Linked DNA regions of Saccharomyces cerevisiae S288C. The protein of the gene in region 2 interacts with the protein of the main gene of each other region in a pairwise test. Each region holds a gene or a part of one and is shown on either strand. Other genes may lie near its edges.

Evidence for each region.
Region 1: the proteins of ADY3 (region 2) and CHA4 interact in a two-hybrid assay, tested with the Saccharomyces cerevisiae proteins (2 studies listed by BioGRID).

What each region holds. Positions count from the first base shown.
Region 1 is NC_001144.5:335,188-344,310, forward strand, and holds CHA4 (Cha4p), read right to left. Parts: upstream 4,287-9,123; coding exon 2,340-4,286; downstream 1-2,339. Other genes in the region: serine/threonine protein kinase KIN2, read left to right, coding at 1-846; SCF ubiquitin ligase complex subunit HRT3, read right to left, coding at 1,044-2,078; lysophosphatidic acid acyltransferase ICT1, read right to left, coding at 4,557-5,741; MIM2 (Mim2p), read left to right, coding at 6,138-6,401; ERG27 (3-keto-steroid reductase), read left to right, coding at 6,623-7,666; APC9 (anaphase promoting complex subunit 9), read right to left, coding at 7,783-8,580; DNA replication initiation factor CDC45, read right to left, coding at 8,802-9,123. UniProt on the Saccharomyces cerevisiae protein: Activates the CHA1 gene for L-serine dehydratase. Binds to the DNA sequence 5'-GVGGARAYRTRATTCCRC-3'.
Region 2 is NC_001136.10:24,022-33,752, forward strand, and holds ADY3 (Ady3p), read right to left. Parts: upstream 4,755-9,731; coding exon 2,382-4,754; downstream 1-2,381. Other genes in the region: GTPase-activating protein LRG1, read left to right, coding at 1-1,855; GUD1 (guanine deaminase), read right to left, coding at 4,964-6,433; AIM6 (Aim6p), read left to right, coding at 6,636-7,808; PHO13 (4-nitrophenylphosphatase), read left to right, coding at 8,275-9,213; YPD1 (Ypd1p), read right to left, coding at 9,394-9,731. UniProt on the Saccharomyces cerevisiae protein: Involved in the pathway that organizes the prospore membrane (PSM) during sporulation. Mediates the assembly of the DON1 ring structure at the leading edge of PSM during meiosis II.

The DNA.
Region 1 (9,123 bases), on a different chromosome or scaffold from region 2:
ACCGTTCCTGAAGATTCTACCACATACAGTAACGATACTAACAATAGACTGACTTCGGTGTATTCTCAGGAGCTTACTGAGAAGCAAATTTTGGAGGAAGCTTCAAAGGCACCCCCCGGGTCTATGCCATCAATTGATTATCCAAAGTCAATGTTTTTGAAGGGTTTTTTCTCTGTACAAACAACCTCCTCTAAACCATTGCCTATTGTTCGTCACAATATCATATCTGTTTTAACAAGAATGAATATTGATTTCAAAGAAGTGAAAGGCGGGTTCATATGTGTCCAACAAAGGCCATCTATTGAGACTGCAGCTGTCCCTGTTATAACCACTACTGGCGTGGGTTTGGATTCCGGAAAGGCGATGGATCTGCAAAATAGTTTAGACAGTCAATTATCATCCAGTTACCATAGTACAGCGTCCTCAGCATCAAGAAATAGTTCGATAAAACGCCAAGGTTCTTATAAGAGGGGCCAGAATAATATACCACTAACACCTTTAGCGACCAATACACATCAAAGAAATTCATCTATCCCAATGTCTCCAAACTACGGAAACCAAAGTAATGGTACATCAGGGGAACTATCTTCCATGTCATTAGATTATGTTCAACAACAGGATGATATTTTAACAACATCAAGAGCCCAAAATATAAATAACGTAAATGGTCAAACAGAGCAAACCAATACTTCTGGTATAAAAGAAAGGCCTCCTATTAAATTTGAGATTCACATTGTAAAGGTTCGTATCGTCGGCCTAGCAGGTGTACATTTCAAAAAGGTTTCTGGTAATACGTGGCTATATAAAGAATTGGCATCGTATATTTTAAAAGAATTAAACCTATAGATACGTTGTTCTTACTAAATATTTCAACGTGTGTCTTTCAATTTTTATTATCTAATATTTATCTTTTTTTAATATTATAGTATAATTTATTTAAGCTGAGATCTGCTTTCTTTAATCTTTCATATGATGAAATAATAGTTCTACATAAATCTATAAGAATAATAAATAAAGTAAAACAACTGCAAAAAACATCGATGTCATCCAGGATCCTTGAAAGATTTCACTCTGGAGAAGAAAAAAGATTTCTCATTTCTCAACGAACAGTTAGATGCATTCCCTTCCTTATCCACTACAATTGAACTTAGCCATTTCAACCGTTGATATCTCTTATTGCCTTGATTCTTGATTTGGAATTCTTCGATAAACGTATACTTTTCATCTGACCTTGTTATCTTTAAATGACCAAAATCATAATCAAATCCGAGGCTCCAATAACACATATGACTATGCCTGGGTTTGTTCTCTTTGGAGAAGTGCTTCACGACAGCGCTAGGTTCATCTGTAGAAAGTAATCTCAAACATTGGCCGTTCTCATAAAATCTGAAATACCTGTAATAGGTGATCATGTGAACTGGCTTTAAAAGAGATAACGAACTTTCTGCATTGGAACCGTATCTTACATAATTTACTACACTGATGTAAACACCTTCGAATTTAATATATGGCCTTTCCCTTAACATACGATAATCATCACCCCGCCATATTTCCTTTTCAAAGGTATTTATATCGGTGATTCCGTTAAGATCCATTGCCATTTTGTCGTATATTTGCTTAGAATATATGTACTTCGCGAAAGTTTTAAATGGCACAGAATCGTGGAAGCAAAGCTTGCTAAAGGTGGAACAAGTCATCGACAAATTCACCCAAGATTCACCAGACATTAATATAACTTTTTTAATAATTCTCAGTAAAATGTCGTCAGGCAAGATTTCCAGAATCCAGCAGGGTTGAAGTTCAGCATTTTCTTCAACAGATAAGTCATCTTTACCGGTTTCATTTTGTTCATCTGGAGCATCAGTAGTCATTGATAATCCCGATAGTTTTTTGTGCAGCATCCACTCATCAAGTATTTTTTTTCTGTACAGTGATTCCACATTATCATGGATTTTCAATGCACTTCGATAGAAGTTTATAGCATCTGACATTGACCCATCCTTCTCTTTCAGTACACCTTTTTCCCAAATAGCAATAGCCTCTTTAGCCCTAGGGTCCTTTTCATAATCTACTATCATTTGCTCCTTGAGTTTAGCTTATGGAACACATGTGTCGTCGCCAAAGATGATGGGGAATGTTTGCTTTTATCTTGCTCAGTCGATTTCGCTATCTAGGAACTACAATCCTTTTTTTTGTCATTTGGAAGGCTCTTTAAAATTCCGAATCGATAAGTTCGGAGGTGGGAAAGGATAGCGGTATATTCCTTCCCAAATAAAAAGGCTACAAACACATTACATAAAGAATATTTGTTCAAGTAAACATATCCTCTTCACTCAAGATTACTTCGACAAACCATCATTGGTGTTTCCACCAATCAGCATATCAATCTCATTCAATAAAGTAAAGTCAAAATTGTACTCTAAGGCAAAATCGTTACCGTGAGATAGAGTCCCTAATAAATCCATAGTTTCTGAATTATGCAAAGCATCTTCAGAGTTTTCTATGAATTTTCTAGCAAGTTCGTAATTCAGGGTAGGCGCACTTAAAAAATTTAAGAAGTCTTGTTTTCTATCCTTTTTAATCAAGTTGGACTTCATGCATTGGATGGCTAAAATCGCAGAATAAATCATGTAAATTGTGGCCTTCTCAAACGTCTTAAATTTATTTTTCCAAACTTTTAAAAGATAATACAGTTCATCAACATAACCTTCAACCAATTCCCGGCTTTGTTTGATTTCGTATATGAAAGGTTTATTATAGGAAATTAGCACGATATAGTAATGAAACCATACGTAAGCTATGGTTGGGTTAAAATCTGTCATTTCCATCAATGACCTCTTGGTCCATTGTAGTTCAGGGGGCAAATCCCTTCTCCAATTGTATACCTCCAGATTAAATTTGGCCAAGTATTCACTCCTTTGAAGTAGAGTTTCGTTTGGGCTGAAAATCTTGGATGCAAAAATCTCCGTTATTCTCGATAACACAATCAGTTTCTTCAAGGGGTTTGCAGTGGACAATATTACTTTTGGGTCATATATGTACTCCTCTATACCAGTCTCAATTTCAGGTAGCTCGTCTGTTTCTGGAACAGTGGAATTGGACAAACGCAAGGAAGTTGATCTTCCAAAGAGGATCGCTATTAAATGATCAGCAATGTAGCAGCCCCAATAAATTCTACTTCTCACTTCAAAATCCATTATTGACAGCTCGTCTTCATAAACATTACTCCATGCTTCTGGATTCAAATGTAGGCCGATTTCGTGGGCAATCCTAAATGCCAGCCCAGAAAGATACCAAGCCATGGGGTTTTCTCCGCTTCCAATGTCATAAAATGCCAAACACAATAGAGTCTGGATGATTGCTAATTTCGAAGAGGACGACGATTCAGCTAACGAAGAATCTTCCAGTTGAAAAATTTTTTTGAGTACTATCGTCTTGGCTCTTTGATAAAACACTTCAGATTGTTGAAAAAGCTCAGTTTCTGATTTGTATGAAATCAAAGATCCCAATGCAGCGATTGCAAATACCAATTCTTCGGAACAATAGTAACTTTTAGTGTTAGTATCACCGAAGAAAGCACTTAAGAAAGTTTCTCTATGAATGAAAAGGTAATGTCCCGGGTATAGCCATTTGAAAAAGAGTGACAACGATCTTAAGATAAGGGGACTTCTTGATAAATTTTTTAGGCTGACCTGCTGTTGCTGATATCTTGTGCTTCCATCCGTCTTCTTTTTTATTATAGACAAGGAATTTGATGGATATATACTATTTGTGCCAACTGGTGGAGGGCTCTCGGAAGGCATTTTCTTGGTGAACGCATCAGACTCATTCTCATCGTTGCTTTCAGATGATGGTAGTGCTGATTGTGCTGTTTCGCCATACTTTAAGATTTTTTCATTAGGAGCATCACCATGATCACTGTTGTTTTTTAACGAGGAGAGAGCATTGCTAGCAATTGTGGAAGACGAGGAACTTAATATTTGCAACTGTTCTTTCAAAGACCGAATCTGGCTCTGTAAAGCTTCTACGTAAGTCGTAGAATATCTTTTGTTCCTTAAGTCTTGTTGAGTGAATACACATTCGGTACGAAACTTGATACAGTTTGAACAAGGCTTTTCCATGTTACATTTCCTTCTTCTTCTACGGCAATTCTGGCATGCTAGTTTTCTCTTCCTGGGCACGTTGTTATTATTCTGGTCATTATCTGTCACAGATTTCTTTAAACTGGACGGAAGGGAGGGTGTTACCGTTGTTGTTAAAGGTGGAGGTGAAGGCTCCAACATCATTGCTGCGATTGTGTAGAGCTTCGAGTTTTAAAAGGGCTATTTTTGAAAACTTACGGCGATGTCAACTTGTTGATTTTGCTTTGTTTCGTTCGGGATGGATCGGAACATCCGCTCACATATGAGAGGTTTACACTCTTGATGTATATGTTGCTCTATCTTGTATACGGTTAAGTAAAGTGATGTATTATGTATATGTATGTATTTATATATATATATATATATATGCGTGGTTTTCCATATTGTATTTTTCTTCTCTACTCTATATAGGCATTACTTTGACAGGAACGAGACTAAAGAAGAGGCAAAGTGCTGCGGGTTGTCCAGGAAAAGATTATGGCCAGCATCAGGGACTTCAACGTAGCTAGCCTTTGCCTTGTTTTTTAGCATTGATTCAGTAGTCAAGTAGCCCGCATATTTATCCATCCAATCGTGCTCGCCATACATGAACATGACAGGCGTTGCTGGGTTCAAAAAACGAACGTTGTTTATTATCGGATCTCTAGCGATCAGATTCCTTTCAAACAAATGGGTGAACACCTTGATTGTCTGTGGTTGCACCGTCTGGTTCTTCCCGACAAATGAGTGCAAAAGATAGTCCTTATATATCTGATCCGGAACTTTTACGTATGCGGTGGAGATGTAGTTCGAGCACAATTTGGAGCCTATGGGTCCCATCCACTTCAAAACGTTTAGCTGGTTTTCAAAGATAAACCGCGGTACGTTCAGCTTTCTTGTATAATATCGGGACGATGGGTCGGTAAACGTAAGTGGATAGGTGGTGTTGGGCTCCCATTTGTGGGTGATAGCATGTATACTGTTTTCCACACCAAGAGGAGATATGAGACACAGTTTCTCAATGGAATCAGGGTACTTGAGGGCGTATTTGAATGAAATATATCCTCCGAATGAATGGCCCACCACGTTTATTTTGCGAAGCTTGTTATCCTTCCGCCATTGCTCTATCCTGTCTACGAAGTAGCTTTCGTACTGCTCCAGGTGTGACTTGATGTCCTCTGCTGGGGGGCGCTTCTCTATCACAGGGATTACTACGTCATCTTCTATATGCTTAAACCTGAGAGACTTGATCTTCTTGGTTTTGTTCACTTGCAATGCTGGCGCCTCTGAGGCACCATTGGCTGGCAAGTCGATGGCATATAGATCTTTAATGTTGTCTGACAGGTTCTCAAACGTCCTGTAGAACGCCATCGACGAGGCAGCGTATCCATGGATTAGTACTGTAGGCGTGCACACTTTGTTCGCACGCTTATTGTGGAAATGCCACTGGTTAATCCCGCCTGGAGTCATCGTGTTATTAACGGACCCACGCACAGTGGTGCTATCCATAATTTGCTGCTGCAGGGCCTTCAGGCCCTGCACGCTAGCACACACCTTGGCGTCTGCAGTAGTGGTCTCCTTCTCAGTTTTGCTGCACCATTTGAAAGTGTTTGTCCACATTCTACTGAAGAAAACTACGCTTACGTATGTATATGTCCTGAACAATGAGAGAAAGACCTGCGAATATACTTCTACTACTCCACGTACAAAAAAGAGCACGCTGCTTTATTTATACTTTTGTGCCACAAGAATGATCAACATCAACATAAATATCAACTAGTATCTGCAACACATCTGCTCCACGGAACTAAACCCGTTGAGCAGTGCCCCGTGGAAACGTAAACTATCGCAAATTGGGATTAACAAGCCAAAAACAGCCAAGCAAGATTCACGAAACCGCGCCTCGTTTGGACCCCGAAGGCCCATTTAACGGCCGGCCGTTACAAGCAAGATCGGCAGAGCAAACCACTCCCCAGCACCACAGCACATCACTGCACGAGCAACAATAACTAGAACATGGCAGATAGCGAGGATACCTCTGTGATCCTGCAGGGCATCGACACAATCAACAGCGTGGAGGGCCTGGAAGAAGATGGTTACCTCAGCGACGAGGACACGTCACTCAGCAACGAGCTCGCAGATGCACAGCGTCAATGGGAAGAGTCGCTGCAACAGTTGAACAAGCTGCTCAACTGGGTCCTGCTGCCCCTGCTGGGCAAGTATATAGGTAGGAGAATGGCCAAGACTCTATGGAGTAGGTTCATTGAACACTTTGTATAAGTGTTTGTTGTTTATGTATCCGCATATAGCAGTTATAACAGATAAATGGCACTTTTCGCACACCCGTTGTTTTATCTCCGATAGTACGTGGGCCTTTATTTATGGTCGTTTAACGAAAGAACGGCATCTTGAATTGAGCAGGTATTTAAAAGATAGGACGAGAAACAAGCACATGATCTGTGTCGAAAAAAAGTAGCAAAGAGAAAAAGTAGGAGGATAGGATGAACAGGAAAGTAGCTATCGTAACGGGTACTAATAGTAATCTTGGTCTGAACATTGTGTTCCGTCTGATTGAAACTGAGGACACCAATGTCAGATTGACCATTGTGGTGACTTCTAGAACGCTTCCTCGAGTGCAGGAGGTGATTAACCAGATTAAAGATTTTTACAACAAATCAGGCCGTGTAGAGGATTTGGAAATAGACTTTGATTATCTGTTGGTGGACTTCACCAACATGGTGAGTGTCTTGAACGCATATTACGACATCAACAAAAAGTACAGGGCGATAAACTACCTTTTCGTGAATGCTGCGCAAGGTATCTTTGACGGTATAGATTGGATCGGAGCGGTCAAGGAGGTTTTCACCAATCCATTGGAGGCAGTGACAAATCCGACATACAAGATACAACTGGTGGGCGTCAAGTCTAAAGATGACATGGGGCTTATTTTCCAGGCCAATGTGTTTGGTCCGTACTACTTTATCAGTAAAATTCTGCCTCAATTGACCAGGGGAAAGGCTTATATTGTTTGGATTTCGAGTATTATGTCCGATCCTAAGTATCTTTCGTTGAACGATATTGAACTACTAAAGACAAATGCCTCTTATGAGGGCTCCAAGCGTTTAGTTGATTTACTGCATTTGGCCACCTACAAAGACTTGAAAAAGCTGGGCATAAATCAGTATGTAGTTCAACCGGGCATATTTACAAGCCATTCCTTCTCCGAATATTTGAATTTTTTCACCTATTTCGGCATGCTATGCTTGTTCTATTTGGCCAGGCTGTTGGGGTCTCCATGGCACAATATTGATGGTTATAAAGCTGCCAATGCCCCAGTATACGTAACTAGATTGGCCAATCCAAACTTTGAGAAACAAGACGTAAAATACGGTTCTGCTACCTCTAGGGATGGTATGCCATATATCAAGACGCAGGAAATAGACCCTACTGGAATGTCTGATGTCTTCGCTTATATACAGAAGAAGAAACTGGAATGGGACGAGAAACTGAAAGATCAAATTGTTGAAACTAGAACCCCCATTTAATATATCTCTGCGTACATATGTATATATATATATGTGTGTATATACATGTATGTCTGTATAGAAAACGCATATCAACTGATATATATACACGTGAAGCAAAAAAGGCATTGCCTCTGTCAGAGAAACGAACTATCCTCGTTGCTATAGTGTCTTCTGCACTTATCGCGTAGACTTTCTATTGGCACTCTGTCATGGCATTTAATCTTGTACACATTCTTTAATTCTTCTTGCAAAAGAAGGTACTCTTCATGCAAATGATGACTTTGGAGTGAATTGACTAATCCTGAGTCGTTCCAGAAACTTTTTAAGGCGTTCGTTTCATGATTTATTATGTCATCCAACCGTCTCATATTAGGTTTCGAATTTGTTACAAATTCTCGCCTTGATAACCTCTCCAGGTCTTCTTTGTTGCATCCAGGTACACTCTCTAACAACATTGAACCATTGCCCTCCGGATTCGCACTGTCATATTTATTAGCCTCTTCGCCGCACATGATGTCAATATCGGGTCGATAGCTGTCTATGCCGTCTAGATGGCCCACCTTATGAAACACAAGACAATGTGCTGCCCTTTCGGCTTTCAAAAAACTGTCAATTCTACTTTCCCTTAGCGTATTGCGCTCACAAAACGGTGAATAATCGTATTGCTTTTCTTCCTCGATGTGGCTCAAAGTATTCAGATAGTCGACTTCGTCTACGTCCATATTTATCCCATAGAGATCATCTGCAGTCCTCTCCTCTAGTACTTCGCCTGTTATGGGCATCGAATCATCATTTATTACCCTTGTCGACCTTTTCCGTAGCGGTGTGGTAAAATTGTTAAAGTTGGCTTTGTTGAACCTTGGTGTTTTCCAGGGCGGCAATGACGGTAGTTGAAACAACTTGCCTTCGTTCTTATCACCATTTTGGTTCATCTTACTTTGTCACAGCTATTTCTTTCCTTCCTGAATTTGTCCTTCCAAACCTAGTTCCCTGTTCTTAATTTCCTTTTATTTAGGTTTTTTTTTTTGTTTTGTCAAGAGCCGCGCACAAAATATGGTATTATTATAGAAAAGTTGGACTTAAAAGCTTGAAAAAGCTTAGATTTTATATTCATATGCTGGTATATATGTACGACTAAATAATATAAATTTGATTATAACAATCCACTCAAGGTCAGCTTCTCCAGGAATGGTGAAAGATCTTCACGACGTATTTCAATTATGGAACTTTCAAAATTATCTATTCTCACTTTAGCATCCGTTTCTGCAGTTATTTGTTGAAACGCCATGCTGAAATTATTCAAAATAGGTTTTTTTGTGTGTATCGTGTCTAGTCCGCGAGGATACCTAGGTGTTAACCCAGCAACCAAGTAAGTGTCCGTATTTTCATCTATGCTGGCAAGCACCATGGGCAACAATTGCTTGTCTTCAGATTCCGCACAGCATTCTATGAGCCAATTTCCTAATCTTAATAAC
Region 2 (9,731 bases):
TTTTGAAAATAACCCGTTTCAGTATATAAAGACTCCTGTTAACGCCACAGATAGTTGCGCTGGATGCAATAAATACATACAGGAGGAATGCATTCAATTTTATGAGCACCGGTGGCATATTGCTTGTTTTACTTGTTCTTCATGCCATAAGAATATAAATCCGAGGAGTTTGACGGATCCCACCTTTAATAAAGAGAAAAAAAAGATACTATGTTCTCACTGCTCAATTGATGATCCGGCCTCTGTGCCGGGTTTCAAATTTGTTACTAAGCTAGCACAACTAATTTTTCTTCTAAAAATTGCCCTAGTCAAATCAAGAACTGTAATGTTGAAATCGAAAGCATCTAACAAGGTAGGCAGAAACTCTTTACAGAGTACTATGCTAAAGGAACAAACTTACATTAGGACACTGAATGATATTAAAAGATTGAGATCTAGAAGAGAAAGTGTTCGGGTCACTCATAACAAACAACAAGCTAGAAAATCAGTGATACTGGAAACTGCAGAGACAGATTTAAATGACCCGACAAAACAAGGAGATAGTAAAAATCTTGTGATTCAAACAGATGACCCATCATCGAGCCAACAAGTGAGCACACGTGAAAATGTTTTCAGTAATACTAAGACGTTGACACTAGATGATATTTCACGTATTGTTGCCGCTGAACAAGCAAGGGAGCTAAGACCTAACGCTTTTGCACACTTTAAAAAACTAAAAGAAACCGATGACGAAACTTCGAATGTTGTTCCCAAGAAAAGCGGAGTTTATTACTCTGAATTAAGTACGATGGAACTCTCGATGATAAGGGCTATCAGTTTGTCACTGCTAGCTGGTAAACAACTGATATCGAAGACTGATCCTAACTATACTAGCTTAGTCTCAATGGTCTTCTCGAATGAAAAGCAAGTCACAGGTAGCTTTTGGAACAGAATGAAAATCATGATGAGCATGGAGCCTAAAAAGCCCATCACTAAGACTGTTTTTGGTGCTCCTTTAGATGTGTTGTGCGAGAAATGGGGTGTTGATTCCGATTTAGGTGTGGGGCCAGTGAAGATTAGGATCCCCATAATTATTGACGAGCTAATATCATCTTTGAGGCAAATGGATATGTCAGTAGAAGGTATTTTCAGGAAAAATGGAAATATCAGAAGACTGAGAGAACTAACTGCTAACATCGACAGTAATCCAACAGAAGCTCCAGACTTCTCGAAAGAAAATGCAATCCAATTATCTGCTCTTTTGAAGAAATTTATCAGAGAGCTTCCCCAACCGATTTTATCGACAGACTTATATGAACTATGGATTAAGGCCGCGAAAATTGATTTAGAGGATGAGAAACAGCGTGTTATATTGCTAATATATTCCTTATTACCCACTTACAATCGCAATTTACTGGAGGCACTTTTGTCATTTTTGCATTGGACGTCCTCATTCTCTTACATTGAGAATGAAATGGGATCAAAAATGGACATTCACAATTTATCCACAGTCATAACACCTAATATTTTATATTTGCGACATAAAGAAATTTCCAATGATAACGTCCCTGACGAACCAGAATCAGGTTTAGTTGATTCATTCGCTCAAAACAAGGGAGAAAATTACTTTTTGGCTATTGAGATAGTTGATTACCTGATTACTCACAATGAAGAAATGGCAATGGTTCCGAAATTTTTAATGAATCTTTTAAAAGATGTGCAGTTACAAAAATTAGATAACTACGAATCAATCAACCATTTTATTTCCACCGTTATGCAAAGTAAAACAATCGATTATTCCGAATGTGACATAAAAACTCCTGTCACAGTCAAAGATTCGACCACAACGGTCATACAAGGTGAAATAAACAAATAATAGGCAGAAACTGTAAGTTTCCCCTCATTTTCCTTTTTTTCTTCTCCTTCCCCTCAGATTTCGAGGTTTGTCGTTCTTATTAGAGTTCTTTGCTTTTTTCTTTGCCTATTTCAATAAAATCTTACCAGTATGCTATGGAAATGGACATTATTTTATTATTATACAACATAGTATATTCTGACTAAAATGGAATTAGAAATTGTAACATTAGTATGTACTTATAATCATTTGTATCATTGTATTACTCGCCTTTTGATGTAAATTTTGTTTATATCTCAGAACATCTCCAACAGCAGATCAGAAGTTACATTGTTCTTGTAAGTGCTTAAGAAGTCTGTTAGCAAATTGAAATCTTTCAGAAGAATATTCCACCAAAATTTCGGAAAAGCAATACCAGCGGTAAAATATCTGCCATGCTCTATATTATGTGACTTTATTTTAGGTGCACCCCCCACCAGTAACTTATTCTCTAAATAATAATTAATGACACCATTGAATATATTAGTTCTAAATAAAAAAAAAAAAGCTAAGAAAAGAAATATTTAAACAACGCTTGCAAATCATACTCAAGAGGATGCTTTACTTCAGCAATATCATGATTGTTCAAAAACTCATTCATTGCGACCTTTCTTCTACTTTTGAAATCTAACTGTTTACCAAAAACCTTAAGGTTCAAATCATTAGCAAATTTTGTGAGAAGTGTAAGCTCACATCTAAGTTGAATGACAATTGTTGGTACAATTTTTAAGAAGGTTTTTAATGGGATATCCAACACAATTAATAAATTTTTGATTAGATTTTGCGATTGCACATAGGTAAGGTCTGTCAGAATATCAAGACCCAAGGAGTCGTACTTTTCCTTCGTTATATGTGGAAAAGATTTTCCAACAGTTTCAAAATTAAGTTCGGTAGAAGGATCACCATATAGTTTTTTTAAATTCAGCTTCTCTTGGAATACATCTTCTTTTAGTGATAGAATTGTTTCTTCGAGTTTTAATATTTCACTTTGTTTTCCAGCTAACTCGTCAGTAATTTTCTTATGTGTGTTTTCTGACTCTTGAATTTGAGTGCTCCATCTTGAAGCAATCAAAGCCTGATTCTGAAGTTTCTCAACAATTTCCTGGTGTTCATTCATGTAATCGTTCAATTTATCTTCGGCATTTTTCTGAATTTTTTCACTTAGTATTAATTTTTCTTTTAACTCGCTCTTCAGTTTTTGAAAGTTTTCTTCCTTGAGGTTCAGGATATCATGCCATCTCCTTTTTTCCAAACGAAATTGTTGTTCTTTTGTTAACGCCTCTTTTTGAAGATATTTTATTTTGTGACTGTGCTGCTGTTGCATAAAATGTAATCTTTCATTAATCAATTTAAAGACAGAAATGATTTTTTCAAGACGTATACGGTCATTCTTTTCCAAAAGTTCTATCTTTCCTTTTAATTGTTTGTATTGCTCCATATTTTCAAGATTTTTGATATCTTGAAAATCCGGATAAAGCTTGGCAAAACCGTTTTGAAACATCGAAGGGGAATGGCCACATTTCATTTCTTCTAGTATGAATTTACCAAGGTCTTTCTCAAAAAGAGAAAGATTTTGCATATAGCTGTAAACATCATTTAACCTTTTCTCGTAAAACGAACCATTATCATGTAATTTTTTATTTTCATCTTGAGAAAGTTGCAAATTGCTTTTCAGTATTTCAACTTCAGATCTTAATTTTACTATAGAGTTATTCGATTCGTTAATATCTTTTAGAAATTTATCATTTTCTTGCTGCAAGTTTAGGATTTGTTTTTGCTTCCTGTATAGTTCCGAAACTAAAATATTTCTTTGAGAAAAAGCTTTACATTTAGTTTTGGCACTAGTCACTTCATTCTTCTCCTTCTTGCTAGCGTTTTTGTTTTGAAAGTCTGTAATTTTTTCTTCTCTAATTTTTTTAATTTCTTTGCGAAACCGGTCCTGAACAATGTTGAGCCTTTTTGATGCAGCTTTTCTTTCGTTGTGGAATTCCTTCTGCAAGTCTTCTATTCTTTGAAGTTTAGCATCATTCATGCTATTAAGTTCTTCTAGTTCTTGAATCCTGTCATCCTTCTCTTCTAGTTTTTGTCTTAGTGCTTTGATCTCTTCATTTTGGGACTGGAGCTCATCTAATACCTTGGGTAAACTATTTTCTTTAGAAATACTTCCTCCATATGATGAAGAAGATAGCCTAATTTCTCCTAATTTCATATATTCGGACTGTTCTTCATCTGGAGTTTTAGATGAGCGAAATACGTTCTCTAGATGCGCAACCTCTATATTCTCCTCCAGACTCTCATTGCTTACAACATAATGCTCATCATTTGAGATTGCTGCGACTTTGTGGGGATTCGTGAGGAGCTTTGTAGGTGTAGAAGAAAATCTATTCACTTCAATACTATTGTGTACTTTGTATGTGGTAAATTTACCAGGGCTTACATTTCCTAATGTACTGGGCTTTCCTGCAGGTGACAGAGCCTGCGAGCCTATTCCTACAGTTGGTAAACCACCCCTTTGTAGAAATTTATTAGGCGATTTTAAAGTATTTTTTTCCGTAGCATTTTCCAATGTACTAATGTTACCAGAAGGTGAAGAGGCTTCTGAACCTGCCCAACTCTCTGAGCGGTTTCTTCGGGAACGCCTATTCGACAGTTTTGATATAATATCAGAAGAAATACTTTCCTGCACATTAGATTTTTCAGTGGACGTAGGTACTTCAGAGTCTATCCAAGTTTGTGAACGCCGCTCTCGAAAAGGTTTACTTTCTGGAGACTTAGTTAAAGTGCCATCAGTAACATGTCTCATCTCCCCCTGCTGGTCGCAATCCGAGTTTTGTTCCTTTAGGGATTCAGGCTTATTCAAAAATGCTAACCAATGATTCATATTCGGAGAAGTTTGTTGTATTCAACTATCCCATTCAAAATCCCAAACCGAGTTTTGCAATTCTTTCACTGGCAAATCTCTTTGTGTTCCTAATCTTAATATTGTACAATGGGCGGCTAAAGCGCGATACGCAAAAGAAATTTGTACATATACTCAAATTACTCATTAATACTTGGAACAAGATATAGTAGCCCTCTAAACATATACAACTAAATCTGGTAGACTTGCTGGCCGGCTACCCAAACTTTAGTGGTGTTGCGATCATCACCGTTAAAGAACCATTTTGCGATTATGTCTTCATTAGTAAGCAGCGGTGGGTTCTTATAAGGGTCTTGCCCTTGCTCTTGCTCTTGCTCTTGCATTTGATCCTTCTCCTTTAGCTGCCAATGAAACATATCCACGTTTGAGCCGGGAGCATTGGTATCGATCATTTGAGCGTCAAACTGCTTACCGACGTCAAAAGTCCCCAAGGTCTCATCCATACGCAAGACTTGTGCTCCGCCCATTGTAGCAAGAAATAGGCACTCGGAGACTGAAAGTTTTGCATGATCAGTTTCTCTCATTGCCAAATGCCTTGAAACTGCAAAGGCCTGCCTTCCGGTGGTGAGTATGCTACAAGAATGACCGGCTGAAACGTCGGTGCCTAGACCAACCTTTATGCCCTGGTCCAGCAACCATCGAACCCTACACTCTCCAGAAGTCAGAGAGGAGTTGGAAATGGGACAATGAGATATACCACAGCGACGCTGTTTAATCACACGCGCTTCGGCATCTGTTAGATGAATACAATGTGCCAATACTGTTTTTTCTGTGAGCAGCCCATATTTGTCGTATACATCAGTATAGCTCTCACATTCGGGAAATAAATCTTGAACCCACTGTATCTCCTCCTTATTTTCCGACAAGTGGGTTTGAACGTGTATGTTTTCATCCTTGACTAGCTTGGACAACTGTTGCATTAGTTCTCTAGAACAAGAGGGCGCGAACCTTGGTGTCACTATAGGATTTACGAGGGGATCACAAATGGTTTCCCGTATGTACTTAACAACTTTCACAGTGCTTTCAAAGGAAGTTTTAGTATCTTCAATATAATACTCGGGACCATTGGTATCCATGCACACTTTTCCAACAAGAACACGCTGCCCCAATAAGGAGCTTAGTTGAGCCAAGAGCTTAGTGGACTTGAGATCAATGGTATTATAGTAAGCCACAGTCGTTGTACCGTGAGAAAGCGTCTTACTTATTACCTTATTGTAAACTTCTCTCGCAATATTTTCGTTTGCTAGTGCGGCTTCTATGGGGAAGGTATACTTCTCTAGCCAATCCAGCAGGGTAGAATTCCCAAATACGCCGACATTTGGATATTGCGAGACATGGTTATGCGTGTCAACAAAACCTGGAAAATAAAAGCTGTTATTTCGAGTCTTGTCTTTTCCAATTATGTCAACCACCGTGACATCCTCTGGTGATAAGCTACTATCGTGATCTAAACAATCTTTGACAGGATCGAGTGAATTTCTGTTCACAAACCTGATGATTCCGTTGAGAACTCCAACAGATGTTTTCTCTCTGATTCTCAGCTCTCCTAATTTAGGGGTATCTACAAAGGTACCAAAAAAAACTAGAAACTTTCCATGTTTGTCGTTGAATTTATCAAATAATAAATCACTTTTTGTCATATCCTCTTCAAAGGACAGCCCAATTCATATATTCATTCAATAAAATGTTGTTCTTTTGCCAATGGCCTGTTTTAAAATCCTTATCTTGTCTCCTTTTATAATCCGAAACTATCCAAACTTCCGAGTGATAAATCGCCGGATAGGCATAAAATATGACTCGAGATAAGACCAACAAAGATAAGTACCTCGGTTTAGTTAAGCGATGTTAGGACTGAAAGGGTGTCTAACTATTCTTATTGGATACGTTATTGCTGTCTGTGCTTTGTTTTCCAGTAGGGGAAGAAATCCTTCATTAACTGATTGGGAAAAGTTAAAGGACCAGAAAATATCGAATATTGATAACTTTGGGTTGACCGGTCAACATCTTTTAGAATTTTTCCAGGAAAACTTGCCATTTCTAAGTTTTTCAGAGGAAAAGTATCGTCACAAACACGTTTCTTTATATTATGATGTATTCAAAGAATATATCTTACGTCGTGCCAGTTCAAAAAAGTGTTTACCAGTAGACTCTGCTATCGCAAAGTTGAACAAAGATGTTAACCCAATGCCAGTTCACTCCCATAATGACTACTGGAGGAAACTTCCGCTTTTTGAAGGTCTGGCCTATGGTGCTAGTAGTACTGAAGCCGACGTGTGGAATATAGATGAAAAGATCCTAGCTGTGGGTCATAATGAAGCGTATTTGGACCCAGTTGAATTGACATTAGACAAGCTATACACTGGCCCCCTCTTGGAGATTTTAGACGAGGTGAATTGCCAAGATTCAGACGCCGATCGCAAAAATGGTGTATTTTTCAACTCTCCAGAAACTTCACTCTTCTTTTATATTGATTTCAAGTCGGATGATAACGAACTAACTTATAAACTGCTGATGGAGCAATATTTCAAATCTCTGATTGATTCTGGATATTTGACATATTACGATATGAAGAAGGATGAAATTATTTGGAGACCTGTTACTGTGATACTAACGGGCAACTACCCGACGTCATTGGATATTTTAGACAATGGAAATGATAACGGCTATTTTGAGTCAAGTCAAAGGTTTGCATTTCTAGATGCGCCGTTGTTAAGTTTGGAGCCCAAATACTCAAAGCTATCTGTAGCTGCGACGGTTTCGTTCAGCCAATTAATGAAACATTGTGGTTCTGATCATTGGAAAGTATCGCTAAGAGGTCGTATGGATTCGAATGAGATCAGTTGTGCTAAAAGCATAATTGATGGTGCTCACGCATTGAAACTTAAAACAAGAATTTGGGGAGCCCCAACCTGGCCAGCTAACCTGGTGGAAACTATTTCTCGCCAAATTATTCATGACTTGGGTTCCGATTTACTTAACCTGGACAATTTATTCATGGCATCGTCATTGATATAAGTGGCTTGAGCTGTGGATAAGAAAAGCCATATATTTATATAAACATTTAGATATGAATAGGAAGTAGATTGTTCGACGCAACTACCCGTTCAAGAAGTATAATGGGGAATGGTCTCATCTTCCCTCACAGGATATAGTTCTCTGAAGAGATACATACGTTTGTGTATACTATGCTTCTTTATCAACTCAAGTTTTGTAGAGGAAGACGTTGAAGATGGTGATGTGACATCTTTACTATTCTCCAGCACGTTTTCAGTATTTACTTAATCGTATATTAATGACGTCCCTTATCTATTAACTTTCCGGTTTTTCTTTTTTTCGGTGAATGTTCTTTCCGTTTTAGTGAATTTTTCAATTGTAATTGACGCAATCGGTTTATAACAAGCAGACATAAATATCAAGCTCGAGCCAAATCACAAAAAAAGCCTTATAGCTTGCCCTGACAAAGAATATACAACTCGGGAAAATGACTGCTCAACAAGGTGTACCAATAAAGATAACCAATAAGGAGATTGCTCAAGAATTCTTGGACAAATATGACACGTTTCTGTTCGATTGTGATGGTGTATTATGGTTAGGTTCTCAAGCATTACCATACACCCTGGAAATTCTAAACCTTTTGAAGCAATTGGGCAAACAACTGATCTTCGTTACGAATAACTCTACCAAGTCCCGTTTAGCATACACGAAAAAGTTTGCTTCGTTTGGTATTGATGTCAAAGAAGAACAGATTTTCACCTCTGGTTATGCGTCAGCTGTTTATATTCGTGACTTTCTGAAATTGCAGCCTGGCAAAGATAAGGTATGGGTATTTGGAGAAAGCGGTATTGGTGAAGAATTGAAACTAATGGGGTACGAATCTCTAGGAGGTGCCGATTCCAGATTGGATACGCCGTTCGATGCAGCTAAATCACCATTTTTGGTGAACGGCCTTGATAAGGATGTTAGTTGTGTTATTGCTGGGTTAGACACGAAGGTAAATTACCACCGTTTGGCTGTTACACTGCAGTATTTGCAGAAGGATTCTGTTCACTTTGTTGGTACAAATGTTGATTCTACTTTCCCGCAAAAGGGTTATACATTTCCCGGTGCAGGCTCCATGATTGAATCATTGGCATTCTCATCTAATAGGAGGCCATCGTACTGTGGTAAGCCAAATCAAAATATGCTAAACAGCATTATATCGGCATTCAACCTGGATAGATCAAAGTGCTGTATGGTTGGTGACAGATTAAACACCGATATGAAATTCGGTGTTGAAGGTGGGTTAGGTGGCACACTACTCGTTTTGAGTGGTATTGAAACCGAAGAGAGAGCCTTGAAGATTTCGCACGATTATCCAAGACCTAAATTTTACATTGATAAACTTGGTGACATCTACACCTTAACCAATAATGAGTTATAGAGGAGCAATGCAAAATCTAGGGGTAGAATTACTTTTTGAAAAGGAAAAATATTCAGGTTTGTTGTTTTTATGTAAGTTGTATGATTTGATATACATATATATATATATATAATATATATTGTACATGTGTTTTTCCGGGGAAGAATGGATTATCCGGAGGTGTGAATAAAATGATGACGATTATAGGTTTGTGTTGTAATATTTAGATAACTCAATTCTCGCCAGTTTGAACTCCAACCTAGACTGGTTCAAAGCTTTTGCTATCAAGATGAGATATATGGAATTTTCGTCTTTATCGTCCACTTGTATCTTTATTTCCTCGTCATCTTCATCAATATTGATTCCATTAATAATCGATTTATCGCTCAGAGTGTTGACCAATTCGGTCTTGTTGGGGAAGAAATGTTCCATTTTTCTTCCCAAGTTTTGAATTCTTTCACAAACCCAGGCAATTCTTTGTAAGCCTAATGCAGCAGAAGAACCCTTTAAAAAATGGCCCAGATTGTCTAATTCGGTAA